Linked DNA regions of Mytilus edulis. The protein of the gene in region 3 binds, or shares a complex with, the protein of the main gene of each other region. Links are inferred from orthologs where the notes say so. Each region holds a gene or a part of one and is shown on either strand. Other genes may lie near its edges. The genes, in order: THO complex subunit 1-like, THO complex subunit 4-like, THO complex subunit 3-like and THO complex subunit 7 homolog.

Region 1 (8,618 bases), on a different chromosome or scaffold from region 3:
TTTTTCACATCCCCGTTTCCCTTTTTCAAAACTGATATCAATTCAAATTACTAATGGAGTTTGCAACAATAACTACTCATTTAAATACATCATAAAATATTAAGATGTAAAAAAACTGCTTGTTATCACTGAATGGTAAAGATTATTTAAATTTATCAGTTGGTAGTAAAAAGTGTATATACATTGTATATTGTATATAACAAAGATTTAAGTTGATTCTGGACAAAGAAAGATAACTCCAATTAAAAAAAATTCTTGCTATTGCACAAATAGGATATTTCTTGCTTACTATTCTGGACAAAGAAAGATAACTCTATTTAAAAAAAAAATTGCTATTTCACAATATTGTGCAATTAGATATTTCTTGCCATTGCACAATACTGTGCAATTGAAAAGACTTGCTATTGCACAATACTTAATATAATAATTTTAGATCCTGATTTGGACCAACTTGAAAACTGGGCCCATAATCAAAAATCTAAGTACATGTTTAGATTCAGCATATCAAAGAGGCCCAAGAATTCAATTTTTGTTAAAATCAAACTTAGTTTAATTTTGGACCCTTTGGACTTTAATGTAGAATTTGAAATTTGAAAACAGGACCAAAAATGAAGAATCTACATACACAGTTAGATTTGGCATATAAAAGAACCCCAAGGATTCAATTTTTGATGAAATCAAACAAAGTTTAATTTTGGACCCTTTGGACCTTAATGTAGACCAATTTGAAAACTGGACCAAAAAAACTTCAATAATCAAGAATCTAAGTACATTTTTAGATTCAACATATCAAAGAACCCAACCGATTCATTTTTTGTCAAAATCAAACTAAGTTTAATTTTGGACCCTTTGGACCTTAATGTAGACCAATTTGAAAACGGGACCAAAAGTTGAGAATCTACATATACAGTTAGATTCGGCATATCAAAGAACCCCAATTATTCAATTTTGATGAAATCAAACAAAGTTTAATTTTGGACCCTTTGGGCCCCTTTTTCCTAAACTGTTGGGACCAAAACTCCCAAAATCAATACCAACCTTCCTTTTATGGTCATAAGCCTTGTGTTTAAATTTCATAGATTTGTATTTACTTATACTAACATTATAGTGCGAAAACCAAGAAAAATGCTTATTTGGGTCCCTTTTTGGCCCCTAATTCCTAATCTGTTGGGTCCTAAACTCCCAAAATAAATACCAACCTTCCTTTTGTGGTCATAAACATTGTGTTTAAATTTCATAGATTTCCATTTACTTAACCTAAGGTTATTGTGCAAAAACCAAGAAAAATGCTTATTTGGGCCCTTTATTGGCCCCTTATTATTCCTAAACTATTGAAACCAAAACTCCCAAAATCAATCCCAATCTTTCTTTTGTGGTCATAAACCTTGTGTCAAAATTTCATAGATTTCTATTAACTTAAACTAAAGTTATGGTGCGAAAACCAAGAAAATGCTTATTTGGGCCCTTTTTGGCCCCTTATTCCTAAAATATTGGGACCAAAACTCCCAAAATCAATACCAACCTTCCTTTTATGGTCATAAACCTTGTGTTAAAATTTCATAGATTTCTATTCACTTTTACTAAAGTTAGAGTGCGAAAACTAAAAGTATTCGGACGCCGGACGACGACGACGACGACGACGACGACGACGACGACGACGACGCAGACGCCAACGTGATAGCAATATACGACGAAAATTTTTTCAAAATTTGCAGTCGTATAAAAACCATCAAAGCACAATGATCATAAATATGGGTACATCATCAAAAAGGAATATTGTTATAATGTTTGTAACTTACTTGCATATAACCATATACCAAATAAAAAACAAACACTGCAGCTGTAAGCAGGATGAATTGCATAGTTGGCGATTGTCCTGATATATCAAAAAATCCAATCTTAAGTTCTGTTGTTTTCTTATTTGAGGATTCTGGCATAGGAACTATAGCAGATTTTTGAGACATTTCGTACAATGCAGAGTTACTTCCCTTTTGTCTCAGTAGTCCAACAGATAGTGGTGTGACTCGAGGAGTCACTGATCTAAAACAAATATAGCAAAAGTTATGTATTTTTTTGTATGATCAATCCATTTAGTCAGTGAAAACAAAATCAGAGCGAGTATTTAATTTTGTTCATGAATTTTGTTTACATACATCTACTTTACAAATACAAGCTCTAATACAATAGGAATTTTCCAAACACTTAAACAGCCGACTCCTAGCTCTAGTTAAAAACATTGAATCATTTCTTTACATTACATGTATATATTTAAATTATAATAACTGAAATATCATTTTGAACATCATTGATTTTTTACCATCTGTTTCTATATGGATAAAAATCAATATATAATTACCATACAATTAATTTTACAAATGTCCACAAATTTAATGACTGTATATCTTTCAATTAATGATATCTAAAATGGTTGTACGCATGCTGGTAAAAGATAGAATTTTCTTGATTCAAATTATTAAAAATCTTGAATCTTAGCCAGTGAAAAAAAATGACCATGATAACCTGAAAAACTTCAATCATGCATCAACTGATGTGATTCAACTATGACACACATATACAAGCTCCTAGGTTTTTTTTTAAAGGTGAACTCTCTCAAACCTACAAGTCACAAAAAGAAGTCTGTCATAAGAAAAAGAAACTTTGTAAATAAAAACATATCTGAATAAGAAAACATTATTCAATACATGTACACAAAATCATTCACCAGGTTATACATCTGGTGACAAAACTTCAAATAGTGGTCACACTCACAGTCTTCACAATAAATATTTTAATCAGCAGGCTCGTATCTCAATTTTTTGAGAATTTAGTTAGATTTTGTTGGCCTGTAGAGATGATTTTTACATGCTTGAAAGAAATTTTACAAGCCTGGACTGCCTGGACTGCCAGGCCTGTAGTGATGTGTGAAGATTCCAGTGGATCATCCATACCTTAAAGAATCAGGACATATGGCCTATCAATGACACATGTAAGAACATTCACTAAAGTTATATTAAAAATCAATTGTTCACAGAACAATTGGTGGTCTTTCCACATCAATTTTTCTAAATTATCAATAAGAAGCTACTTCTAGTTAACTCAAAGTTACTATTGGCATCCAAGCATAAAGATTTATTCATACTGATTCAATAAATACATGAAATATATGTTTCTATATATTTTTGCATGAAACAAGGGAGATAATTATCAACTTCTGGTTAAATATGTCACTTCCAGTCTCATAAGATAGCTTTATTCACACGGATTCCCAAAATATATAGTTTCTATATACTTTTGCCTGTAATAAGGGAGATATAAGGTACTGGTTTATTGAAGGTCACTTCTGATCTCAAATATTAGGTTTTTGTATGCTTATCTAAAAAAAAAGTTTTAAGGTACTTTTCAAAGGAATAAGTGCACAAATAGCTACTTACAATTTACTCAAGGTTACCTCCAGGTGATACTTTTCAAGGTTATATGTCACCCAACAGATTGTTAAAGACCGTATGGCTTTATCATGTACCAAGTTAGAGTAATAATCAATTCATCTTAAATTTAATAATTTCAGGGACAATAACTCATATAAGATGTCATTGGATTGTTTCAGACCAAATGAATCATATCTACATCACAATCAGGCCAACATTTTTCAATAGTTCTTGTATCTATATCTTAAAAGTGAGAGAGGAGATCATAAAACAAGGAAAAGTAAAAATTTAAAATATAACCTTGACCTCAATTTCATTTTTGTGCACAAGTGACCCAAAATCAATATTATAATACTAGAACACACCCGCGAAATCGCGGGCATATACAGCTTGTAAACTGTTGTAGGATGAATTTTTGTAAAATTTATTATGGTTGGAGAATTTCATATAAGGTATCAAAAGCCCTCTATCTTTTTTTCCAAAATCTGTTATGTGTTTCCTTTCTGTTAAATTCAATAATTTTCGTGTTTCTGGCATTATACCACAATTATTCTTCACCTTTGCTACAATGCATTTTTTTTTTTATAAAAGTCAAATTAAATTAAAAATTTGCACCGCTTCAAACATGAAATAAATGAAACTGCTTATAGATCATGCATTATTATTCTAATAAAATATGCTTGTAGGACAATCCATCAATGCTTTTCCTTTTGAGAGCCCTATTAACATGCCAATGGTAGGATTTGGATCTCATATAAATGACTAAGGCTCATTTGAGGGGTGGTCTGAGGGGCCCTGATCCCGAAGTCCCGGGCTTTTAAAAAAATGAAATCCTGAGGTGCGTATTTTAACGAAATTCATAAGCTGACATCCCGAAATTAAAAAAAAATAATATTCCAGAGTTTAAAAACACCCGATCCAAACGTCCAGAATAAGTCCAGCCTCCCTCTAATCTCTACCCTACTTTCATTTTGGCCAAATTACTACTTTCACTTTCAACAATAAACTTTTATGCCCCATTTATGGGAATTATGTTTTCATGTTCGTTGTCCGTCCGTCCTTCTGTCCCGCTTCAGGTTAAAGTTTTCACTTTCAACAATAAATTTTTATGCCCCATTTATGGGAATTATGTTTTCTAGTCCGTTTGTTAGTCCGTTTGTTCATCCGCTTGTTCGTTCGTCCGTCCGATCGTCTGTCCCGCTTCAGGTTAAAGTTTTTGTCGAGGTAATTTTTTATGAAGTTGAAGTCAAACCAACTCGAAACTTAGTAAAGATGTTCCCTATGATATGATCTTTCTAATTTTAATGCCAAATTAGAGATTTTACCGCATTTCATGGTCCACTAAACATAGTAAAGGATATTTTTTTAACAAATATTTAAATTACAAAAAAAATAATTTAAACAAACTTCGTCCCCATTCACAGGTAATGCCTGCCTCATATTCAGTTTAAAGCCTATGGTTGTGCCATTAGCCCTGCTATATATGGTCTTGTTCTTCTTTTTTTTAGATAGTCTAAGAATGGGGTGTTGGTTTGCAGGGCAAAGACAATCTATATAATATAAAATTACATCATTTTTGGTTGTCAAATGGAAGTTTTTAACGACCTTGACTGTCAAATATTCATTTCCACTTAAATAGTTAAGGTATGCACATTGCCAACCACTAGTCGGTGTTTCGTGGGCCAGCGAAACGTCAAAATATGACCGGAAGTGTGAAGTACGTCATCAAATATTGCGGAAAATTTCAAGATGGCAGCCTCCATCGGATTTAACTTTCTGGGATCTGTGGGAAAATTTACAGTAATTCCATCACTTTTAGATAACTTTTTCAAATTTTAAATTGAGCTTGAATTAAACCAACAAGACACTTATTTTTACATGTTCATTTAAATGAAAATTTGACAACAACAATTTCTTCAAACAATCCTACATATTTTTTTGGGAAACAAGACGTTTCGGCCATTGTCATTGAGCCGGTTCGGTCTTGGTCGTTTCGGCCATGTAATAAACGTAGTATAGACTAAAAGTTATACAAACATTGGTTCTATTTGTTTGTTTCTCTTTTATGTTGTCAGCAAATAGGAATTTGAGTGTTTTATCACTTATTTTTTAGAACATGAAAAATGGTGTATAAATAATTTTTCAGTAATACATAAATTTTTCTTGTTAAAATCTAAAACATTGTTACATACACGAGCGAATCATACAAGTTGAGATATATAAACTCCGTAAGATGGTGACAAGGGAATGTCACCATCTAAAAATGGATAATTAACGATAGGAAATGAGAAATCATCTCTTTTATCATAAATTTTAGTATTAAGCTTTTCATTAATGATATAGATATCAAGATCGAGGATTTTCGGTTTTAAAAGCTCTTCAGAGCTTATGTTTGTAATTGCTTGCTTATACCAACTCTAAATAAAGCTTTATGTCTTATGTCTTATGGCAGTGGTCATTGCTAGTATTAGCTTTATTAAGTAAGTTCAACAGGATAAATTTCTTTAGTATACATACTGAAGTCGTCATTATTGAGAGCCAAAATATCATCCAAATATCTAAAAGTATTATTAAATTTGTGTATCAGATGTTGTTTCGATGGGTCTTTGCTGATTTTTGTCATAAATTGTGACTCATAGCAATACAAAAACAGGTCCCCATTGGATTTACGATAACCTGACGATATAGGGAATCTCCAAAGAGATCTAATAAATCTAATAAAAATTGAAGGGCAGATATAATATCAAAGCATGTCCAATTGACATAGTTTTTTTTGTTTATTGCTACTAAAAAATGACCTAAAAGAGTGAACATATATAGTCACATTCTGACTTTTTAAATGTCCATTTAATTAGGGGTGTGAATTTTTTCATAATGAGAATGTGAGGCAATGTGGTATATAGGGTAGAAAAATCAAAACTTTGAACAGATTCAAAATCACCAATATAAGCATGCAATTTATCAAGTACTTCCAACGAGTTTTTGACACTCCAAAAGTAATTTATTCCACTATTTTCGAAGGCCTTATTTGAACAATTTATTATCAGGTTTTTGATTGTACCAAGTGTACTGGTAAGAAGAATAGATAATTAAATAGTGGAACAATGGCTTGTAGACGAATTAAATTTATATTTGTAAGGTGTTTTGTGTAGCTTCGGAAGCCAATACATAGTTGGGACTTTCATTGATTGTAAAGGGGTAGCTAAAAGTTAATGTTTGTTACAGATATTGTTTTCTGAAAATGGAGTCAGTTGGAATGTTGGTGAATTGGTAGTAGGTTACATCCAAAATAAAAGTAGCAGTCTTGTTTTCATATACATGCACATGTATGACTGTTGATTTTTTTTAAACTAAAAAACTTACTTATTATTTCAGAGTGCTTTGAGAGAATCTCTGTTGCAAAAGTCTAATGTGGAGTGCATTACAGTATACAAATCATACAATGGAAGGTGGGTATTAAAGAGACAGAAAAGAGTATATTGCTTATTTATTTGCTAAATCCATGTCCCAAAGAAAATAACATATTTATATAAATACGGTTAGTAGTATAACTAAGTATATATCCAGTATCATGAATATCTCTTTTACATGTATATGTTCCAGACCATATGTGTTTTTGGACCATCACATGAAATGCATGACAAACAGTTTGTTGCATCAAAGTCATACTATGGGAATGCTTCACTCGTTATGGCTCATTAATTCAAACAAACTTGACTACAAACCAAAATACTGTAACTTCTAAAACTATTAACTACTTTTCAGTTACACCCTGTGTATGCAGTTGTAATAAAATTTTCATTTTGATTTTCTCCTTTTTTGATGACAACTCAAAAGGGGCATACCTGAGGAAATATACAGTATCAAATGTTAATTTTACAACATTCATTGTGTTAATTAACCAGACCATATGTATATTGTTAGACCAAATGAGTACACAAATACCAGATCATGCATATGTATATAATTATTGTTAGACCAAATGAGTACACAAATACCAGATCATGCATATGTATATTGTCAGACCAAATGAGTACACAAATACCAGATCATGCATATGTATATTGTCAGACCAAATGAGTACACAAATACCAGATCATGCATATGTATATTGTCAGACCAAATGAGTACACAAATACCAGATCATGCATATGTATATTGTCTGACCCAATGAGTACACAAATACCAGATCATGCATATGTATATTGTCAGACCCAATGAGTACACAAATACCAGATCATGCATATGTATATTGTCAGACCCAATGAGTACACAAATACCAGATCATGCATATGTATATTGTCAGACCCAATGAGTACACAAATACCAGATCATGCATATGTATATTGTCAGACCAAATGAGTACACAAATACCAGATCATGCATATGTATATTGTCAGACCAAATGAGTACACAAATACCAGATCATGCATATGTATATTGTCAGACCAAATGAGTACACAAATACCAGATCATGCATATGTATATTGTCTGACCAAATGAGTACACAAATACCAGATCATGCATATGTATATTGTCTGACCAAATGAGTACACAAATACCAGATCATGCATATGTATATTGTCTGACCAAATGAGTTCACAAATACCAGATCATGCATATGTATATTGTCTGACCAAATGAGTACACAAATACCAGATCATGCATATGTATATTGTCTGACCAAATGAGTACACAAATACCAGATCATGCATACACAAAAAATGAAGATGAACTCTCCACAACTATGTCTGGTCCAAATACACATTGATAAAAATGTCAATGCGTAAGTAAAATGATTTGATATTCCATGATATGTGTCTTTTATTTTTGTTGTTGGGTTGGTCATTGATATAAATCCCGCATCTCATTTCTATTGGCAAAACATTAATATACCACAATATCAAGTGATTTTATTCCTTGTCAATTATAATACACATAAAGTAAAAGATTTACTTACACTCAAACTATGATTACCCAAAGTGCCCTTGTTTAGTAAGTTGGTTATTAAGGCAGAAATTAATGTAAACATTAATTATAGTACTTTAAATCAAACATGAATTGTATCACTATACAGAAAATGTTTGGCTGTTTATTTTCAGTGAGTCAGAGAAGAAATCAGCTATGGACCAAGCTTTACGAGATATTGTCAGAGATTTAGTGGTAAGTTCAATGGTCAGCTATGGACCAAGC
Region 2 (7,644 bases), on a different chromosome or scaffold from region 3:
GATCATTCAGCTTCAAAGATTGATTGATTTTTTATTACGCCAAATCAGCAAAAAAAGGCTATATCATGGTGTCAGCTTCCGAGAAAGTTGCTAATATAAACCTGTAGTTTTCATAAAATTCTCGCATTGACACAAACTAGAAAGTCCTTGATCAGTAATGATTAGGTCACTGTAAATTATTGCTTATATTAATCTCTTGATAAAAATTTCATATAATTTGGACAAAACAGGTGCTTACTATGGAATTTCCTACATACTTTTTTACTTGACATTACTTTACTTAGTCTTCATAAAAAGATCAATGATTTTTATCCTTATGTGTTTATATATTTTTAATAAACTTTTATTTACACAATATATTGTTATTCAGATTCAACTGGAACAGTAGAAATTACCTAACTATTTGATACCAGATAAAAAGATGTTATGTAACAACATGTATATATTCATTGACTATTACCATCTAAAGGAACATTATTATATTGTTTCATGGCTTTTGCAGCATCTGAATTTCTCTCATATATCACTTCTGCTGTGCCTAAAGATCTTCCAGATCTGTCATAGTGTATAGCTGCCTTCTTCAATGGACCAAATTCTGCAAACAGTTCCTGAAGAAAAAAATTAAAATGCAAGCATGCTTAAATGTACTCAAATTGAGCAGTTATGATCATATTTTCTAACTGGTTCTTTTGTTAAAACATCTATTATATGATTCAAGGTAATATGTCTATCATTTTGTTTTTCTTCATGTCTTAAGATTTTATGAACAAAACTATGCCACCTTTAATTTAGTAATATTTATAATGATTTTGTTTAAAATACATATTCGTGTAATCTTAAAACTTGTATTAATACATTGAAATATAAAATACAAATGTAATTCCTCACTGGTAAGATTTTATTCAAATATCTGCATGTTTTGAAAATTAAGAATACAAGATAACAAGACTATCTGCATTTTGTACATGTATGTATTAAATGTTTCTTTTCCTATATTTCAAACTCCTACATAAAAGCAAAAGAACTAGGAACAACATGAAAATCTTATTAAATTGAAGTACCTGTATATCAGAATCATTGACCCCAAAGTCTAAATTGGATATATGTAGTTTACTTGTGCTGCCACCACCCCCAACAGCAGCTCCTCCTCCTCTACCCCTCTTCATTGTACCAACATCTCCGTCAAACATATCATGCTTCCATACATCATCTGGTGTGTCTTTAGACTAAACAAATGGAAAAACAAATCCTATTAATTTTTATGCATCAATCACGTTTCATGGTGTTACATTCTAGATTACTTGTTTAACTTAACTGGCATCAGCATGTATAAACAGATACAAAAGGCTGTCAAAAAGTCAGCAAAAAAGTGGGTTTTTTTTATACAATTTCAGGCAAATATGCTGGTTATTAGACAAATATTCAACAGTCCTATCAACATGATAAACAAATAATATATAGAGTCCAGAACTTGATGTCAAAATCATAGTTATTGTGTCTGGCAACTTAGTCTTTAATTCATCAATTCACAATTTATCATGTAAATTATATATACAATATATACAATTGTAAATGTAGAAAACCATGAAATAATTTTAGAACATTGTGTATTTGTGCATACTTTTTCAGAACAAGCAGTCTTCACGTCAATATTTTAAATCTACAGGCCTGAAGCTGAGTCTTATAAAATTTTTAGCTATATTCTATTGGCGTGTAGAGATATTTTTGACAGGCAAGACAGCATTTTTACAAGCCTAGGCTGGTGAGCCTACATATATGGTTGAGCCTGAAGACTGATCATGAAATAAATAACAGATATATCATATGTAGTATGAAAAATCACAAGGTACATGTAGCTAACAAAAAGTGTTTAATTCAACCTATATTTTCTAACATTCCCTTGCATTTCCCATGATTAAACATGTACACACATCAATCTGCTGGTAATTTATTTATCTTTACAACAATATAACATGTTTCATGAACTTTGTACAAGTATAGATAGTAAATCCCCCATTCACAGAACACAATTGTCTGTGATCTAACAAAAAATAATACTACATATATTTATAGATTATTGTTGATTATCTCAACAAGATTGATTTTCTCGCTTGAGCCGAAAAGACGAAAGCAAAAAAAGCAATCGAGTTGAGATGACCAATGATGATCTGTTTATCGCTATTTTACCTATGACAACGTTTTCAATTTCATTAGCAACGCCACATGCCTCCTTTATTTCTAGCGATAATTTTCCATCTCAGGCGAGTAGCATGATATGAAAAATTATCACATAAAAAGATCAAACAAAAATGCACAAAATAGCGATAAGATGGTTTATAATACACCTTATTATGGCTATTTATCCGCCATTACTCAAAACTGGACATCACACAGGTTCCTGTAAAATTTTGAAACAATACAAATATCTGACGCCACAATGGAATTTAAGTGATTTTCATTTTTGTATGAAGCCATAGTTCAAATGGGACAGATTTTCATGTCAGCCAGGCTTAACGATAAGGTGTATTTATATTCCTCAAATTAATGAGCATGTTGATAATAATCATAAACAAGAATGTGTCCTCAGTACACGAATGCCCCACTCGCACTATCATTTTCTATGTTCAGTGGACCGTGAAAGTGGGGTAAAATCTCTAATTTGGCATTAAAATTAGAAAGATCATATCATAGGGAACATGTGTACCAAGTTTGAAGTCGATTGGACTTCAACTTCATCAAAAACTACCTCGACCAAAAACTTTAACCTGAAGCGGGACAGACGGACGAACGAACGGACGGACGCACAGACCAGAAAACATAATGCCCCTCTACTATCGTAGGTGGGGCATAAAAAATTAGTGAATTGGACAAAAACTACTCTTAAGTAATGATAACCTGTGCAGTTGCAAAAGTTTTAAGGCCTAGCATCCACAAATTATATTAAGAAATAGACAAAATAATGAAATGAAATTATGTACACAACAAAAACAAAGACTGGTCTGATGTCGACATCATTTTTGAAGTTTACCCGGGAAAAGCTTTGTCTTCCTCCACCACCACTGGTTCTTCTTTTCTGAATGCCGCCACGAAACACTCCTCCTCCACCGCCGCCTCGATTCTGTCGGCCCCCAAAGCCTCCTCCCCCGCGTCTACCTCTTGTTGCACCACCGGCACCACCGCCGCCGGAACCGCGTCCCCTCCTTTGACCGCCTCCTCTACCACGACCTCCTTTTTTGGTTGACTTGATTATATCATCTAAACTCATGTCCATTTTGTCTCCCATTGTCATAACCTTTGTAGAAATACGTTGTTCAATCAATATCTACCGGCTTTGTTGGTGTTCTCGTGTTCTCTGTTTAGTGAAAATGGCGGCATACGAGTGGTGCACGATGGGATAGGGAATTTTATAATAAGATTGTCTCCCCTTGCTTTTGAAAAAAAATAAGTGCGGGTTGGATCTTGCCTCGATCACAGGGGCACATGAATCTTATGTTAAAATGTACTATGCCTTACGCCCAACAAAAAACTCGAAGAATGCCTAGTCTTTTTCTTGTAAATATGGCGTATATGTACTGTAAAAGATAAAAAAAAAAAAAAAAGAATTAGATTATATAAATTTTATGAGCCAATGTTGGACCCCGAGGGGCATAAAGATTAGAATGTAGGACAGAAAGTCACAGGACAAAAAGTCACAGACAAAAAGTCACGGACAAAAAGTCACAGGACAAAAAGTTACAATTCATATTTTCTTTGAATAAAAAACCCTTATTTCTACAAAAATATTTTTGTATTTTTCTTGAACTATTGTATATAAACCAACTTTGTAAACAAAATTTTTCATTTAAGATGATCAAATAATTGTTAAAAAAAACATATTGTCAACGTTGCTTTGCACTTAAATGGCTTCATGGTGCCAAGAAATATATCTTTTGCATGATTAAAATTAAATAAATCTTCATTTTTCAAGTATAATGACACATTTCCTCAACTTTAGTATGCATATTTCAAAATATTCTCTTATATATCCAAGCAATTGTCAGCAAATTATTTGTGACTTTTTGTCCTGTGACTATTTGTCCTACCTAATTTGTGACTTTATGTCCTGTGACTTTTTGTCCTGTGACTTTCTGTCCGTTTACCAAAGAGAATACAGAGAAAGAAAATCCAATAAATAACAGATTACAAACCAAATAACAGACACAAATATACAATATATATAATCCTTATAATGATATACCTTTTTTAAGATGTTAAAGCCGGGGGAAATACACCAAAAAATATTGTAATGTACTATGTGTGTGCATATAGTATTGCAATCTATACAAATCAATGCATAAAATTAATTGTTTATGTTAATTATTAGGACAAAACAATAGTTTTGTTCTTTTATCAAAGCTCTTTATTGTATTGTATATATGGCGTATAACTGATATATAGACTAGAGTATAGAAATGCAAGTTAAGGTTGTTCCTCTGCCGGTCAGACTTTTTATATTTCGAAGTTTTTATCTCTGTGTTTTTTTCAGGATTCTAATCTACCATTACCGTATAAGTTTGTTTTTTTTTTTATCATATTGTTAATTTAATCTAATCTAAATGTAATTCAATTACTTTAAAATTACAAATTCACTTGTCATAAAAAAAAAAAGGAATTGAGTGTTATACAAACTAATTAGTGTTTTCAAAGACATATATACGCCTCTGGTGTTTTTTTAGTGACAGGTGTCAATTATCAGTCAATCAACTCATTTCTAAAACTTTAATCTCTAAATATCTTTGTTAGGTTTTTCAATGACTATACTTGTATACGAACATAACTGCAATAGCTGCAAAAAAATAAATCAAACTGACAATATTATTGTAATATATATGTATGCTTATTAAATGGTAGAAGTATCAATTAAAGTTAGATGTAAAAAATATTAGTTTTACAAAAGTTTGAATTTACACTTAATTAATATTATTTAACTAGACAATGTTTTTTCTTCTTCAAATTAAATATTTTTTGAAAAAAAGTATACAGTAGGTCCTTATTATTTTTGAAATTTGTAGCAATAGAAAAACTATCCGAAAGAGGTACTGCTAAAGTGCTATGTAATGCATAAATCATCAATTTCACAAGGAAGCTATTAAAGTTCCAAGTGTAAGAGAGAAACAATGGGAGTATCAACACTCAAAGTTACGGGAGGAACAATAGACAGCAGCAAACATGGCAAAGGAAAGATAGAAAAACTGCATGTACAATTTCAATCAGTATTTATAATGGAAGACTGAAATCATAACTGAAAATGAAACACCAGAAATACCAAATCTACACATCAGTACAGATCTCGAGGTCTTAACCAAACTACTTAAGGGAGTATACCAAAGCATGGCAACTGGTCCAGACAACATATCATACAGAATATTGAAAGAGTGTGCAGAGTCAATATCAAAATATTTACAGCTTATCTTCACCAAAACATTAAAAGATCATAGTGTACCACAGGACTGCCTATAGTTGCAAATGTCACTGCACTTTTCAATAAAGGGAATAAGAGTATCATTGACGTCAGTTCCATGTAAAGTAATGGAACATGTCATATTCAACCACATCATGATGAACCATCTTGACAAGCATAATATACTTGTGCAATTCCAACGTGGCTTCAGAAGCAAAAGATTGCTTGAGTCGCAACCAGTAATTACAGCAGAGGACATAACTGGCAACCTTGCATCAAATGGTATCAAGGCCAGGGGAAACATACCTGGTTATAGAAGCATGGTTGACACAAAGAGAACAACAAGTCACACTGGAAGGGGAAAGTTCAAGTACTACTAAAGTAACACCCGGCGTACCACAGGAAACAGTTTAAGGACCACTGATGATTTCTCCTATACATAAACGACATAGCAAAACGAAATAACATTAAAGATTCGCCTATTCGAAGACGATAAATTAACGTACCTAGCGATATCATCAAAGGACGACTGTAAAAAATTACAAGAAGATCTTGACAAAATGGTAAAGTGGACCAAATGATCTCTCAAAATGTTATGTCATTACAATTACCAAAAAGAGAAAAACATCCATTTCAACCTCAACATCAATTGACATGTTCTTGGCATGATCAGGCGCATCAAACCAATACCTTGGAGCTAAACTTACCAACACAATGTCATGCATGGGGAAAAGATGTCAATAACGGAAACAGAGTACTAGGCTTCATACGAAGAAAGGTTGGGTCATGTCCAGAGGAAGTCAAGAAACAAGCCTATCTTGCTCTTGTCCGACATCACCTTTAATACGCTTGCAGCTACTCAAGAGAGCCTGGAACAGTTACAACACTTTTAGAATTGAACCCGAAACCACTAGAAACCAGAAGAAGAATTATAGCACGTACAACGCTCTTTCATAAAGCCATCCGTGAAAAGGTTATTGTACCTATGCCATCCCATTTTAAAACCAAGAAGAACTTCGAGATATTAAAAGATACGTACAAATCAGATCAAATAGATCGATATTTACATGTACAGCTTTCTTCCCTGGGCCACCAGAGACTGGAATAAACTACAAGTCTAACTTTACTAGAGATTGAGAGCATGCAGTGGGGAATTATAGTCCAAACTCACCAAGCTTCTCTGTAATGGCTAACCAACACCAACAAAAGATAGATGATATTTATAACCAGCACCTGTACATAATTTTGAGCACAATTTGGAACTATTGTATATTAAATATCATATACAATTTTTTCGTCATGTAGGAAGACGTCAAACTTAACTTGATACTTGTGTGATGGGTCGAAGAGCCTTTTTCGAGTGACGACAGAGCTGCAAGATGTAGATGTATAGATGTAGATAAACAGATAACTGGTTGAAATAATTCTTACGTTTTACGGATGACATCATGAGTTGGTTAACCGTCATGGAATATATCCGTTTCACATATGATAGTGGATATATGTTAATTCTAAATGGTGTTACTACAATCCCGTCCCCTTTTCGCCGAGTGTGACAATATAATCCAACAATCATAGTTCTTGGGATTATATATATTCATTTGTTGTCACGGGTTGATACGAATGTGATGTTGAAAAAGCCACAGTTTCTCTTATAGTTGTGGTCAGCCTGTTAACTATTCATTGCAAACAGCGATATATTTCATTTCACACACCTATAATAAGGTGTGAATTGAGAATAATGGGTAAAAAGTGCAGAATAAAGGCCAAACAAATAAAAAGATTAAAGAGAAAATCGCCCAAAAAAAACAACAGAAAAGAGAATAATAGAGTGCTAAAATATAAAGAATAGTGAATATTGGAGTGCTAAAATTTAAAGAACACCGAGAGAATAAGGGACAAACCATATAATATAAAGAATAGAGAAAAGGGCCATAACGAATTTTAAAGAATACAGAATTGAATGAACCCCACCTTCCTTTAAGTGTGATACGAAAAATGCAATTTATTTAGTTGATTACTCTAGCACCTTATTTATATGTTACGAATGTGAATGCATTTTGTAACTTATGTTGTCATTGTGTTCCGTTGGGGACTTAAAACTAAAAATCAGAGGTTTCTAGTTGTGTAAATTACCACCATATGATGTGAATACAACCATTCACATCACCACTTATCATACATCATACTTATTATTATATTAT
Region 3 (7,981 bases):
AAATGCGAAAGAAAGGGGTTGTTGTTCGAGCTTTCACCTCTTTCTTAGCAAGTAAATGTTATATTTTACTACAATGTACACACTGATGTCTTATGGACAATTTATGATTTATGCTTGAAAATGTGTACCTTTATTTTACCGACGTTTATACTCGTCAATAAAATCGACAATATTTCAACGTAAACGTAAACATTTTAATTTGAACTGTTCGCTTCCATTATTTATTTCATCTTCCGGCATGTTAATTTTTGGTTTGTATAAGCGACTGTTAACGTCATAATTCAACTACGTTTCGGATGTCTATACTTTCGCGAACCATCGCACTTTAGCTTATGGAGGCATTGGACTTAAGCGTAGACCATCCCACTTTAGCATGACCATCGTACTTTAGCGTCCCTATCGCACATTAGAGTCCTACATATATATCATTAAAGTGATTAGAGCAGTTTTTATTTAGCTTAAACTGACTGATTTATATCTATTAAGATAACCTCCCTTTAGTTTTCTTATAAATTTCTGATATACATGTAGCATTGAGAAGTTATTGAACTTTATTGACATGATTGAAAATGCAACGGGCGTGTCATGGGCTCATAGCACAGATGTTTATTTGAGATGCTGATCTATCATATGCCTAATAAATGTTTTTACATACTTTTCATTTGTTTGTAATTTGCCAGACAGATTTAAAAGATTGAAGTGTAATTCATGTCTAACAGTCTTTTAATTCACATAATCCGTAAATTACCAATAATTTCATTGTATATTTCACATGTCATTCAAGATCTGATAAACAAGATGCAGGGAAGTGTTAGACCCAATTCTTCTGTTCCTATAACATGTACATGTATAATGCATATATTTACTAATTTACATTTGCTTTTTATTAATTTTGCTATTTTCTATTTTTTTTATTAATTCTTTTTGCAATATAGACAGAAAGCAGTGCCCATTCATAACAGGAGATCGCGGACAATTTGTTTACGCTCATTTTTTGCTTATTCTGTACTTGTCAGACAGCCATGTCTGTATACACTTATAGCATGTATAGATAAACTGTTTTCTACATTTTTGTGTGCCTTTCTATGATCAACGATCTTTCGGAGTCCAGATAGTCCACCTTTTTCAACATACAATACAATCTACATTTGTAGTTTCATTATCAGCAAGTCTGACATCTTGAAATATTTCGACCAATCAACGTTGATTTCTGGTAATATATGATACGAAAATATAAACTTTATTGTAAAATGTATTTCTTCAAAAAAAAAAGTTGACCAGACGGAATTCACATTACCCGATGTATGAAATATATTAAAATGATCTACACAAGTGTTTAGTATCTCTTTTTTTCTCTTTTTTTTATCATTAATTTAAACCAAGAAATCTTGTTAAGTTTTGTTTTCTTTACTGAAGGTGAGCGGTCAGTAAGAAGTATCTAATGATCTTGCCTGTCACAGTCACCATTATCAGCAAACCTCAATCTGTAAGTAGATTTCAGAGTTACATGTATAAAGCCTTCTGTTTTGAAGGTGTTTTTAACTTGTCTGGTGTTTTCAACTTGTCTGGTGTTTTGGGTGTTTTTGGAGACTGAGGTTCCAAGGGTAACTCAAATAATTGTTACTCCTTCAATGTTATTAAAAGGTCATAATGCAATACAATGTTGTTGTTTTTTCAAATGATTCAAGTTAATACCGGGATATTGGTGGTCTCACTTTAATTTAATTCATGTCAGCTATCTAGTTTTATCTACAAAATGAGAGCCAGTTTTGTATTCTTAATATTCAAATTTTCCAATTCTTTATTAACTTTGAGCCTTACGGCTCATCAGTATAAACAAGTACATGTACAGTGTATACATATGGCATAATACACACCCTCCATTACTCCTAAATCACAAAAAATACAATTTCTTTCATTTCTATTAGGGAGCTACCATGTGATTTTTATAGGGGGGGGCTAGGATGAAATTTGAAAAAAATAGGCAGGACAGGAATTTTGAGTAAAAAAAATAGTCAGGATGAGACACTTGCAAAAAAAAAAGTCAGGACTACAATTTAGGTAATAAAAAGTCAGGATAAACTAAAAAAAACAAAACAGCAGGACTGAACAGCGTGAAAAATAAAAAGGCAGGACAGAGATTACAGCTAAAAAAAATGCAGGACAAAAATTTTCATCCTAGCACCCTCCCCCCCCCCCCCCCCATAAAAATCAAATGGTAGCTCCCTTAGTACAAACAATAGTTTCAATACAAAGATTATGTGAAGACATTTACAAAAAAGTAAAGGAATTCAATTTTGCAATAAAGTATTCATTCATTCATTCAATTCACTGTAATCTTGAACTTTATCAAATTTCTTCTTTGATTGGATTCTAATTGCCAACTGATTATATGAGGTAATTCAATTAAATGAATTTGATAATGTATCTCAGGTGTGAAAACTTTAATGACATGTTTATTGGCTTGATTGGTGATTTATGACAAGTGTCAAAATTAGATTGTAATTTAATTAAATATCAGGTCTTCAAGTGTGCTGGTGAACTTATTCAATTCAACATTATGGGTTAAAGTTTTTATTATAAAGTATATATTTTTGTATAAAATATTTATTCTCTGTACTTATTGATCGAGCTTATTTGTGCGACAGTAAGTATAGCATGTATAGTATAACTATACAAATCCTTGATCAAATTGTTGAGAAATGGTGCACAATTGTAAAACTGACAAGTAGAAAAGGTGATGGATTAATTTGCCAGGAATCTTGGGTTTCATTCATTTTTATTCCCTGGTATTTCAGTGATAATTTGGGGTCTAAAAATAATGTCTACTCAGTGTTTGTGATCGTTCAATGTGTGTTTGTGATCGTTCAATGTGTGTTCTAATTTGTTTCAAGAGCAAACCAACCATCCGTTCTCTATCCAAAACAAATACATTGACAGTTTTGTCATATGACCCAGAGGCAAGTCTTTTCCCATCACTATTCCATGCAACAGAATGAACTTTTGCTGAATGTGCCTGAAGCTCTCTGATTCTGTTGTTACTGTTAAAATATTTTCTCGTGGTTTCATGGAAGGAAGCCATAGTTCTATTTTGAGTCCGTTGGTTCCGATCAAGCTACTTTTTTTAACACATATTTCATATTTGGCGAATATTTGACGTATGAAAATGTACAATATTTCATCAAACAATTGAATTCAAGTTTATGTTGTATTTTTATAAAGCATTGATTAAAAAATGGTCTAAGGAAAAATCTTCACGGATACGAAGTTTGAAATTTAGGAAGACCAAAGGATCTTTTCCGCAACCGACATTTTTCTTCAATTAGTTTAATGACTTCCGGGGAAAAATAAAAGCAAAGTAAACGAAAATCTTGCCACAAGTTTTAACGATGGATGAACCTATGGATGCAGAGGCTGACTCTACACAACCAGAGCTAGGCAAAGAAAATGTGTCCCAAGCTGAAGAACATCCACTTCTGCGACCTGGTAGTATGGGTATGTCTACATCGCCCTTCAAAATAAGTGTTTACCCATTACTTTCATATCATATGTAAACACATTTTTCCAATCATTTGTTGCCACAAGACGTTATTGAAATGACCAACCAACTGTAACTGGGATCATGAATGTCATTATTAAATTCATTGTCTCAAACATAAATCGAACCCAGGACCTCTGTAGCGTGGGTCTGATAATTTTTGGGGGTCTGATCCTGGATCTTGCTTATTGTTTAGTCATGAGAATCCTGTATCCGGCTTTTCGTTGCCACAATAGCGCATGTTATTTCACGTGTCTCATCTGACTTTGTATCCGGTTTTTACATTAAATTATTTTACTTTCATGTGTCACGCTTAAAACAATTAAGCCAATCCCACATCTCACTTAGCACCCAAGGTTTACATTACAAGGCAGGGTGTCTACGGAATGATGCTAAAAAAGTACTTCATTAGCTCAACTGCTACAGCTGATTGGTTATCAAATGTGTTTATATATGCACAGTTCCTCTGGCTGCTGTAAATGGAGCACTGGAATCGCTGACCAAACAATCATGTGACTTCTATATCTACAAGGATGGAACCAATATGAAATAGCATAAAGTTTTCCCAAAGTTGATGACTAATGTCACCAATGTGTTGTCTGTCATCCTTCAATATTTGATCTGAAGCATATAGCAGTTATACTGTTTGTTCATCTCTCCATCTGTCCCTCTGGGAGTTGGTCCTAAGTAAAAATATCCCTTGATGATCAGATGTAAACATGTTATCTCATTAATGATTGATAATTATTGCTTAAAACTTTACACACTTCTTAGTTATATTAATCTAAAGATCTGTATACTTTTTTATTTTTGAGTTATGAGGTCTTTTGTTAAAAAAAAAGGGGGGGGGGGGGGTCACATGTAAAATACTGTAAATTCAGAAATTATTGTGTGCATTTATTATTGCGATTTTGTCATTTTAAACTGTAATAATAAAAACAGTGCAATAATTTCTGAATTTACAGTAGTATTTTTTGTTAATTTTGGAACTTAGTATAGCAACTTTACCTGACCATATAGGAAAATAGGTATTTAGTCGGATCTTAACACGTACTTGTGATTTGGTTAAAACCGGTTTTGTTCAAAATATACGAAGAAATGTCGAAATGTTCAGGACTTAATTAAAACCGTATTTCGGTAGGATGGTGCAAGCATACGATTTTTATTGCGTCTTACACTTTGAGAAGCGAATAATCTTCAACTTCTTTATTCAAATATTGTGTAAAAACGTTAATTTTGAGCTATGAAAGTCAAGTGGCTCGAGTATTTTTCTAAGGAAGTTTTAAAAAATTGCAAAGAAATATTTTTACATTGGGTTAGCTTTCATTAGTCTTAACTATCTATAGATTAACAACTTTTGGTTATATTTATAATTTAGAATCATCATTGAAGGTGGGGGACGATTTCGCAGATAATTAATTATATTGATGTGCCATTTGTATGCAAGAGTGACATTTCGTTGTATTATGTGCCAATTCGAAAAAGTTATGCGAGTATTCTCTCCCCTTAACAGGTTCATTATTTTATAATTAAGTTTAGGTTTCTGATATAATTTTGAATAATTACAAAATGTATCAATTCAATATATTTCAGTTTTTGTTATTGGTGTATCAAAAACATTGATGTACGAATATAATTTCATAAATTTGAAACGTTTAAAATGATTACATACCAATATAAAGAACCGTTCATCATTTTTGAAAAAGACTATGAACGAAAATCGATTTATTTATCTTCCCTTGGTGACAGATTGATTGGGAAATGAACCAGCGTAATATAATGGTAATCACAGAGAGGGACCAGCAAGCATTTTTTAATTGTAGCTTATTCAACGTTAAAACAATTTTCCACTTTAAACGAATGTTACTTTATACAAATATAAGGACTTTGTTAGCTAAATCTACACATTTTATTAGATATTATGATGTTTTATTGCAATAGATTAATATGCTACTTAGTAGGAGATAATAGCATGTGTATTAGATAGTGGGTAAGTAATATAACTTATCCTTACATCTGAGTTCTCAGATTACCTACCTCTGAGTTTTCTGAGAAATAAGATTGAGAATAGAATTTTGATTTATCCTATCTCTGAAATCTCAAAAAGATCTTTGCTCCATACTTATGAGTTCTCACATTGAACTCATTTGATTTTTGTAGTGATGATGACCTTGACTCCTGGTGATTACGAATCTCAATATTGGCCAAAATTAGAGGAGGCAATAAATCATTTGCTGACCATGGCACCAGGTCAAGGAATACCTATATCTTATGAACAAATGTACAGGTAAATAACATATATTATTTTTAACTTTTGCATTTAAAAATTCTTTCATCATGTTCATAGCTGAGCAATACATATGAAAACCCATAAACAGATTGATTGACTAAATATTGTATAAGGTATATATAGTCATAGTCACATTAATGACAAAATATTATAAAATTAGCTTTAGCATTTCAAGATTCAATTTAATCATTGACCTATAACGAAAAGGCACTTGTCTTTTGTTGAAGACTATGTTGGTTTTTTTTTTATTTCATTGAGTTTTACCAAATATCTCTTTTAACTCATCATATCAAGGTACAGAAATGAGACCAGATAATTGCAGACAAATTTTAATTTGAATTTCTTTCTTTAGTAGCCTAAATGAACATGACGAATGAAATGTGCTTAAAACTCCTGTAACTTACTCAAATTTTGATACTCATTTAAAACTGCTCAACTTGTATCAGATTTGCTTTAATCTATCACACATTGTTGTGGATTGTCAGTGGTACACACTTATTAAAATAGCACACAGTAAATTTAAAATGTTAAGTATTTGGTTAAGAATTTTTAAGGAATTATGGTACATGGAACATGATAGTGATACATTTGTGTTATATATGATATACTAAACATTTGTTTATACAGACTAGCAAGAAAAAACAAGTACAGAAATATTCACCAAAAGAAATTAACCACATACAAATTGTATGACAACACAAAACTATACCACTATAACTATAGATGACACTCAGAACAAAACTGATGGCTTTATACTTTGTATACATGATGGAATGACATGTTTCTTCTTCTTTTCAGTTGTGTATATAAATGTGTATGTAAACAATTTTCTGAAAGGTTGTACTCAGATCTGATGCAGTACATGTCAAAATATCTTGAAGGAAAGAATGAGGAATTCCAGGCATGGGTATGTATTATTTTGGGGGACATCTGTAAAAAATAAAGATTTCCTAGATCACATCAAGTTATATTTTCCCCACACTCATTCTCATGTATTACAACTTGTAAGATTTCTTAGCATGTATCTGACATTTTTATGCCCTTTGCCGTAGCGGAGGGGGCATTAAATTTTATCCTTGTTTTAATTTGCTGTAACATCATGTTACACCCAGGGCCTTTTAGCATCATGGTAATGTGATATTTCTGAATGTGATGCTATCTGAATGGATTTTCTAATAGATTGTGTTATTGATGTGATGCTATAATTTTTAAAAACAAGATGGTATTTCAAATTTCCTTAATTAGCAGTATGCTATATGAAATATCTGGGGAGAACACTGACACGCATATTGTAGTCCGTGAATTGATGATTATAAGATAAAAAAATATTTTATATACTTAAATGTTAATAGGTTAAATGAATAATCAATATAATTGTAAAGATTTAACTCCTTTCCAAAAACAAAGATGAATGTCTTGAAATTATTCAAGCTTTCAACATTAATGTATCCGATGAAATAGACAGGTTGGGAATAGCATTTTATTTTAAATAATGCATGAGAATCAGTGTGGGAAAATAAAGTATTGCTATTGCTTTTGTTATCACTAAATATGATTCATGTTATAAAAAGGAATTATTTTAATCTGAAAAATTGATCAGAAATATATGATAAAATTTAAATGATATATGGAGGGTTCAGGTTATATTCAGAGATATCTCAGTACAAACTCTCTAATCCCTAGAAGATTTAATGGTCTTGCGTGGATGAATATTGCATCACACTTGATACAATGGTAGAATCTATATATATATATAACCATGAACATTATTTGTCTATCATTAATAAATGCAGGGTTATATATACTTGCAGGAGAAAGAAGATGGGAGACAATTTTTAGAGAAATATTATTCTGTATGGAATCAATATCAACAGGCATTAGCTGGTATTGTTCCAATATTTAACTATATGGTAAGAAAGCTTAAACTGAATACTCAAGGTGCATGCTCAATTTGTAAACATGTTTGAGGTGTATTCATGCTAGAGATTTATGCTCAATGTATAAACCTGCTTGAGATGTATGTCCAATCTGTATTCTTGCAGGATGACTATATGCTCAATGTATAAGCCTGTTGGAGGAGCATGTTCAAACATTGTTTAACATTTGTCATTCCTGGGCCTTTTATAGCTGGTATGAGTTTTGCTTAGAATGAC
Region 4 (7,510 bases), on a different chromosome or scaffold from region 3:
ACCTAAAGATATGGTGTACTTGTACATGCATCAATAGCACACCAATTGTAATCAGCAAACAGATATGTAATGATGTTGCAGAGTTATCACAAATTGTAGGCAAGTGCTTGTCATACACTTATAAAACCTGAATTTGAAATGAAAACATACCTTGTCTGTTTTTCCTAATTCGTTTTGCTTGCTGTAATTCATTTTTACACTCTGAAATCTTTTCTGTAGCCTCACTTATTTTTTGTTCTGAAAAAAAAAGTGTACAGAGCCCATTTCATGTATTTTCCAGCAGATCACCTAATCTTTTGTGCTAATTAAAAAATTTTTTTTTTAAATGGGAACTAGGGCATGTTTTCTATTCAATTAACATCAATAGAAGAAAGGTCAAGTGAAAACTGTCCGACAGGCAAGTGGACCTTGCAAGGTACGCACATACCAAATGTAGTTACATTGTATCCTATTACTCATAATAAGAGTGAAATGAACATTACAAACAAGAATGTGTCCCCAGTACACGGATGCCCCACTCACACTATCATTTTTTATGTTTAGTGGACCGTGAAATTGGGGTCAGAACTCTAATTTGGCATTAAAATTAGAAAGATCATATCACAAGGAACATGTATACTAAGTTTCAATTTGATTGGACTTCAACTTCATCAAAAACTACCTTGACCAAAAACTTGAACCTGAAGCAGAACAGACAAACGGACGAATGAACAGACAAATGGACGCACAGACCAGAAAACATATTGGGCAAAATAAATGGGGCATAAAAAAAAATATAACATAACAACAATTCTTTATTAAGGTAATAACAAAATGCTAATAGTTACAGAAATCTTATTTTAAGTACTTATTCTTCGGGTATAGAATCATCCCATCTTACACTGTACTATAAGTTGTTGTATGTCTAATAGACAATATCTATATTATATATGCAGCTACAATTGCACTATTATTATTGTTTTCATTTTAGGATTCTGATACAGATTTGTTTTAAATACAAATTGAAAACTTGTGTAACCTTGTCACCATCCCACCATGTTTCTTTACTATTTCTATATCTTACCAATTTCTTTACTTAATTTTTCATAATTTGATTGCTCCTTCAAATTCATCTTGAAAACATTCAAACATTTTCCTGCAGCACAGTCACACAGAGCTAGGTCTTTCATCATTCTCTCATACTGGGCATGACTGAAAAAGGAACATGTATTTCATTAAAAGAAAATAGTTCGGGTATTTGTTATTTGTAAGAACTTGTACAAATTGGGTATTTGTTATTTGTAAGAACTTATACATTTGTAGTTTTGTACATCTCCCCAATCAGCTTTCACATAAAGGTAAAATAAATTTAATAAAAAGATTGGGAGCAACTGTAAAAAAAACCAGTTGCCAACACTTCATCTTTGTAAAAAATCAGAAAACATAATAAACAAGAATGTGTCCATAGTACACGAATGCCCCACTCGCACTATCATTTTCTATGTTCAGTGGACCGTGAAATTGGGGTCAAAACTTTAATTTGGAATTAAAATTAGAAAGATCATATCATGGGGAACAAGTGTACTAAGTTTCAAGTTGATTGGACTTCAACTTCTTCAAAAACTACCTTGACCAAAAACTTTAACCTGAATCGGACGGACGAACGGAGGCATAGACCAGAAAACATAATGCCACTCTACTATCGTAGGTGGGGCATAAAAATATAAATACAATGTATTATTCTTACATTATATATTTTGGTTTTTTTTCAATTTGAAAAAAAAAAACATTTGATATAAATTAAGTCATTCATGATTCATGATCATTCATTACAGAACAGAGTCAAACAGAAGTATCTTTTTATCATGTTTATAAATATAAATTCATATAACACAGGCCACATGTGCTACTAATACTGTTGTATTTTTCCAATCGACCAGTTTGGTAATTTGCTCAAAACTACAATTTGATTTAACATTTTTCTCAGACTGCAAAAGCAGAGATATCTATTAATTACAGCCAAGGTACATTATATTAATTACAAGCATATAACTCATTGTCAGAAATCCATATTGTCATACAAAGTGAATATCATTTGGCAAAAAATGGTGCAAAATTTCATTTTCTGTATACTTCTTCAAAAAAACACCCCAGATTTTTTCTACGTCTTTGTGTTGCTTCAGTATTTTGTAAAATGAATCTTTAATGCAGTATGTATGTCTTGTCATTGATTTTTGGCTATCTTTAGTATCTTAAATCTCTCTTTCTACAAATCTAATACCATAAATAAACAAAAAGGTGTGAGAAAAAGCACTGACTTATGATTATGGTAACTCTGTGTATCATGGCCATTCATGCACATTTATGTTTTCTGCTCATTGGTGTGGTTTTTGTCTCTTTGACACTTTCTTCATTTCCATTCTCAGTTTTAGTATACAGGGGCTGTTCTTACTCACAAACATACTGCATACATGTACCACATTGCCACAAGTTGTGCATGTTACATTGCATGTCATCCTATTGGGGCACAGGGGTAGGTGTTCAAAATCTTGATAAACTGTATTTTCAAGGTGGCATTAACTTGTCATACAATTGTAAATTTGGAAATTTTCAACATGTTGGAAAATTCCTGCTCCATGTTAAAACTATCATGACTATGATATTTATTGATTATTGCATTTACTAAATACAATTTAATAAGTTCTCAAACATATTAGGACATTAGACAAAGCTGTATCAATGAAAATCTAAAAAAAAAAATTAAGCTAGTTTACAAAAACTATAGATTACTTTTCTTCCTTGGTCTCTGATTCACTTGCCCAATGGAAAAATGTTTTCAATAAGCTGGCAATTCTCTTATCGTCACCACCTCCATCACCTTCTATTAATAACCTCCTCCGAAAAATATCATCTATAAAAAATGTTTTTAGTTTAATAATTTACTATTAGCATAATTAGTTTATGGTTTGATTTCTGTATTTGACTAAATAAAATTGAACTGGATTTGAGAATACATGAATACATCTATTTTAATTATTATATTACTCAAGATAATTGATTACACACAGATACATTTGTATATTTAATTAGATAATTGGATTAGTTAAGTAATAAAATAAGTGTCAAAGTGATTGACAAGGGGTGTGTATCATAATAATCCAATCAACTTATAATTCAATTTAATCATTTCAAAACAAGACCGTAACCATATCCCTTGGCCTTTGCTTATGTCATTTTGTGCACATCATTACCATTTAAGTGCAATTTAGTTAAAATTTTTTTAGAGTTACGATATATAAAAGGCATATAAATGAAAGCAAATACAACAAAATATCTTTTAATATATATATAGTTGAAGTACATGATTTATGAAGTATGGTTGAAATGACTATTACTACATAGGCAAATCGACATAGGCCAATCCTGTTCCATTGGCATGGCCTAAACAACTTTTTTTCAGGAAAATTATGCATTTTGAGAAATTGTGTTTCAAAAAATTCCAAATTTTATATAAAAGGTATATATCAGGTTGGGAACAAACGGTGAAACCCTCTATAATCTATATGGTGTTTATACCTTTATAGAGGGATATTTTTGTTAAGATTGGTTTTAAAGCAAAATAGGGTATATTGGCAGTCTCTACTTATTATGACAGTAACCTGCAACAATTGATGTACTTAGTTTAATATGCACATACCCAGTTTACTGCTAAACTGACTGTATATATACAATCTATTGTACAGTGAGATAGGTATAAAATACATGTAAATTTCAAGTTCTGTCGGCAGAAATCTGGGCATCCCAATTTTAGTAAAGTGCAATAACTGATGCATATAATGCTTTATATTATAGCCAATATAACTAGAAAATGCTAATCTGCCCTATTTTGCTTAAAATCCAGTCTTAACAAAAATACAGAAGGATTAACCCTCTATAAAGGTATAAACACCATAGATAGAGGGTTTGTTCCCAAAGCAAATACAACAAATCATCTTTTAATATATAATTGAAGAATGGATGAAACGACTATTATTATATAGCTGAATCAACAAAGGCCGAACCGGCTCCATTGGCTTGGCCGAAACGACTCGTTTCAAATAAAATAACTTAAAAAAATTTGCATTTTGAGAAATTGTGTTTCAGAAAATAAAAAAAGATTCGAAAATGGGCCACATAATCCTTAGTTGAGGGAATTATATTAAATTTGGATCTATGTTCTATCTAGCATTGAACACATTTAAGTCAATCAATCAATCTAATTTCATAAACATTATAAAACATGAAAAGCATGCAGCACGAGAAGACTAACCATCACTCACTGCCATTTTCGTCGCTTGTAGCATCAAATTTGAATAAAATACAAAAAATTTGTGGCACATTTTCGTTTAATTTGTTAATTTCTATATTTCATATTTTAATTTGGAGTTATTTTTCGATCTTCGTAAAAAAATAGGAACTTTTGAATTGTTAAAATCATCATTTAACAAACTATATTTTCGTTGGCGTAAGCGGAAGACCAAGACCAACGACGGAGTTTCCCGATCTTTGACGTCACAAAACATCGGTGATAGTCGGACTGGCAGAAAGCAACAAGAAAAACTGCAAAATGGCGACCCTGGACAGTAGTCCGTCGCATTTTGCGGGTCAACCATGGTCCGAATGGGCCAATACTGTGCCTTCCCCACCATATAGTGGTGAGAATAGAATATCATCGTTTAAATGATTCATGTATTGTCCAAAAGCTATTACAAATTTCTGAATGTTCAAAACTTTTCCATAACCAGTGTCGTTTCTACTTTCAAAATTTCCCTGACAAATGTCAAAATAAATTCTTATATATTTTCAGATTCAGGTGGTGAAAGCTCTGAATCTAAAGCTACAGACGACAGTGATAGTATGAAACTGAATGTTGAAGGTAATAGCATTGGTAACAAAAGATAAGTTGAACTTATTTTATACACATTGATTTGAATGTAGTTTGACATGGAGAATAGCGTATAAATCTTTTACATGAAGTTCAATACCATTTTTTTTTAAAAAGAGAACAATAAACAAAAAATATGACAAATCAAGTTTTAAATGTTCACTCTACATTGGTTACAACCTAGCATAAAAATGATTCATCAAAAATCAGGCTTCAAAAATAAGAGTCAAAATCATTTGTCATTTAAAATGACAAATGGTTTTGACTCTTATTTTTGAAGCCTGTTTATGACCATGTTATCTTATTGTTTCTGAGTAATATATTCACCATTGATATCTATACCTGTTGCTCTTAAGGTTCATCATAACCTTTTGGCTAAAATGGCCGTATTTATACCCCAAATTTTACTCTGAGTACAGACTAACCTATACACCTGCAACAGTTTTAAGGGATGGCAGGAACTAGATATATAAATTTTAAATGCATTTTATGTTTCAGAAAATTATAAACTTTTCTAGATTTTGCTATCCATTTTTTTTCGTTCCTGCAGAAGGTGCAAAAATTAACTAAGTAGTGAAAACGATTGAGAAGCTCCCCTCATATAATCAATGTTGTGAGTAGTATTGATTTAAATGGACAATAGATGGACAATAGACACCTGTAAACAATAGGTGATTTAACAGGTTTAAACTGTGTAACTGAGTGGACCGTATCAAACGAAACTCGGGTGTTTGTTTATTTTGCTATCTTCTGCAGACTGGAAAAAAATGAACATCAAAATCCAGGTAAGTTTATAATTTTCTGAAACGTAGACTTCATATAACTTTTATATATCTAGTTCCTGCCATGCCTTAAAATTTTCCTGGATGTACCAGTTTGTCTGTACTCATAGTAATTTTGGAGGTGTAAACACGGCCATATTTTTCAATTCCTTATGATGAACCTTAAATTCCTTGTAGATGCTGAGCTTACAAGATCTTTCAAAAGCTAAAGCAGAAATTGTGTTATTTTTGGTACTCAAACATCACACACTCCATTAATACTGCATGAACAATGGATCTAGTATACAAAATTAATTTGATAAGAAAAATACAAAACTGAAGTAAATCACTTTTAAATCAATGGAAATGCTTTTTCTTTTTTATTTGTTTCATTATCAGCATAATTTGAGAAAAATCACCTGTTTTATCTAAACTGGTCTCCAATCGAAATTTACAGTACACATCCAAATGCTTCTTAATCTTTCAGATTCAATTGTTTTGTCAATCTTTTTACTTAATTATTATCCTCTAAATATCTCAACAAGTCAGCAGAATTAAGTTTTTGTAGTCGACTTACAATTCAAAGCTCTTATTTCCTGATATAAAATTTGGTAAGACATAAGAATGTATTAGGGTTGGATGTCTAAAATATAGTTGGAGGAAGAAACAGATATTTTTTTTTTATATCTTGTCTTGTGGATCATTTATTGAAAATTAATTACCAATTGAAACTAAATTTTAATTTTTTTTTGTTATTGTACAAAGTTATGAAGAAATTTGTATAATTTATTTTTTTGACACGTCACAGAGTGCATTGTTTGGTCAATGGAATATCTTATCCTCTTCTTTCTTACAGATAGTGCATTGTTTGGTCAATGGAGTGTAAACTACAAGAAATTTTTTATCTGTCCAGTGCATTGTATAAAGTTATTAAGTAATATAGTTTTGTTTTCTTTCTAACAGATAGTGCATTGTTTGGTCAATGGAGTGTGTAAACTACAAGACAATTTTTATCTGTCCAGTGCATTGTATAAAGTTATAAAGTAATATAGTTTTTCTTCTTTCTTACAGATAGTGCATTGTTTGGTTAATGGAGTGTGTAAACTACAAGACAATTTTTATCCGTCCAGTACATTGTATTTAAGAATTGAATGCTTCTTTTTGTAAATTTATTGGGGTGTAAAAGCGTTGACCGAAGTACATTTTGTATGAAGCGCAGAAGCGCTTCATTCTAAAAATGTACGCACGGTCAACGCTTTTACAACCCTATAATGTTACAAAAAGAAGCATTCAATACTTATAATTACATTTTTTAGCTATGATCATGAAAACACAAATTTTATATATTTTATTATTTAATTCACCTGTGCACTTTATTGTTGGAGCACGTGTTATCATGAGTGAAAAGATGTATTGAGCAATGCAACTGCTTACGGAATAACACGTGATGTGCAGTTAGCCAATCAGAATAAAATATTATAATGAAACATACATCTAATGTAATTATAAAGTTATAAAGTAATATAGTTTTGTTTTCTTTCTAACAGATAGTGCATTGTTTGGAGTGTGTCCTTCTCAAGATGAGTTTTTTCTTGTCCAGTGCGAGAAGTGTAATAAAGTATTAAAGCCACAAGCGCTTAACATACATCTACGTAAGTAAAGATCACCATCATATCAATTGGTTATTAAAAGTTGATTGACTGGTTAACCTTTGAGCCTTTCAAGACCACCATCACAATACATGTCATTTAGATGATTCCAAGCATCAAGCAAAATAACCAATAAATCAGTAATGAATCTTTACGATTTTCAATTTAGAGAGTTCAAGCATGAAACTTGACATGCT

Evidence for each region.
Region 1: THO complex subunit 3-like (region 3) and THO complex subunit 1-like share a complex: the UniProt entries of both Homo sapiens proteins name them as parts of the transcription/export (TREX) complex. The link is inferred for Mytilus edulis from reciprocal best matches to the Homo sapiens genes THOC3 and THOC1.
Region 2: THO complex subunit 3-like (region 3) and THO complex subunit 4-like share a complex: the UniProt entries of both Homo sapiens proteins name them as parts of the transcription/export (TREX) complex. The link is inferred for Mytilus edulis from reciprocal best matches to the Homo sapiens genes THOC3 and ALYREF.
Region 4: THO complex subunit 3-like (region 3) and THO complex subunit 7 homolog share a complex: the UniProt entries of both Homo sapiens proteins name them as parts of the transcription/export (TREX) complex. The link is inferred for Mytilus edulis from reciprocal best matches to the Homo sapiens genes THOC3 and THOC7.

What each region holds. Positions count from the first base shown.
Region 1 is NC_092344.1:105,008,953-105,017,570, forward strand, and holds the start of THO complex subunit 1-like, read left to right. Parts: upstream 1-5,100; 5' UTR 5,101-5,174; coding exon 5,175-5,225; intron 5,226-6,800; coding exon 6,801-6,874; intron 6,875-8,527; coding exon 8,528-8,588; exon of another isoform or gene 8,589-8,607; coding exon of another isoform or gene 8,608-8,618. Other genes in the region: adenosine 3'-phospho 5'-phosphosulfate transporter 2-like, read right to left, coding at 1,800-2,040, 4,995-4,999. UniProt on the Homo sapiens protein: Component of the THO subcomplex of the TREX complex which is thought to couple mRNA transcription, processing and nuclear export, and which specifically associates with spliced mRNA and not with unspliced pre-mRNA.
Region 2 is NC_092352.1:25,278,174-25,285,817, forward strand, and holds the start of THO complex subunit 4-like, read right to left. Parts: upstream 3,403-7,644; 5' UTR 3,290-3,402; coding exon 3,029-3,289; intron 1,227-3,028; coding exon 1,062-1,226; intron 609-1,061; coding exon 461-608; intron 1-460. UniProt on the Homo sapiens protein: Functions as an mRNA export adapter; component of the transcription/export (TREX) complex which is thought to couple mRNA transcription, processing and nuclear export, and specifically associates with spliced mRNA and not with unspliced pre-mRNA.
Region 3 is NC_092347.1:86,565,767-86,573,747, reverse strand, and holds the start of THO complex subunit 3-like, read right to left. Parts: upstream 3,109-7,981; 5' UTR 3,083-3,108; coding exon 2,906-3,082; intron 1-2,905. Other genes in the region: CDK2-associated and cullin domain-containing protein 1-like, read left to right, coding at 3,390-3,495, 5,699-5,825, 6,627-6,735, 7,640-7,738. UniProt on the Homo sapiens protein: Component of the THO subcomplex of the TREX complex which is thought to couple mRNA transcription, processing and nuclear export, and which specifically associates with spliced mRNA and not with unspliced pre-mRNA.
Region 4 is NC_092344.1:46,251,539-46,259,048, reverse strand, and holds the start of THO complex subunit 7 homolog, read right to left. Parts: upstream 3,468-7,510; 5' UTR 3,453-3,467; coding exon 3,341-3,452; intron 2,891-3,340; coding exon 2,770-2,890; intron 1,192-2,769; coding exon 1,064-1,191; intron 238-1,063; coding exon 151-237; intron 1-150. Other genes in the region: serine-rich adhesin for platelets-like, read left to right, coding at 4,586-4,673, 4,826-4,894, 7,212-7,316. UniProt on the Homo sapiens protein: Component of the THO subcomplex of the TREX complex which is thought to couple mRNA transcription, processing and nuclear export, and which specifically associates with spliced mRNA and not with unspliced pre-mRNA.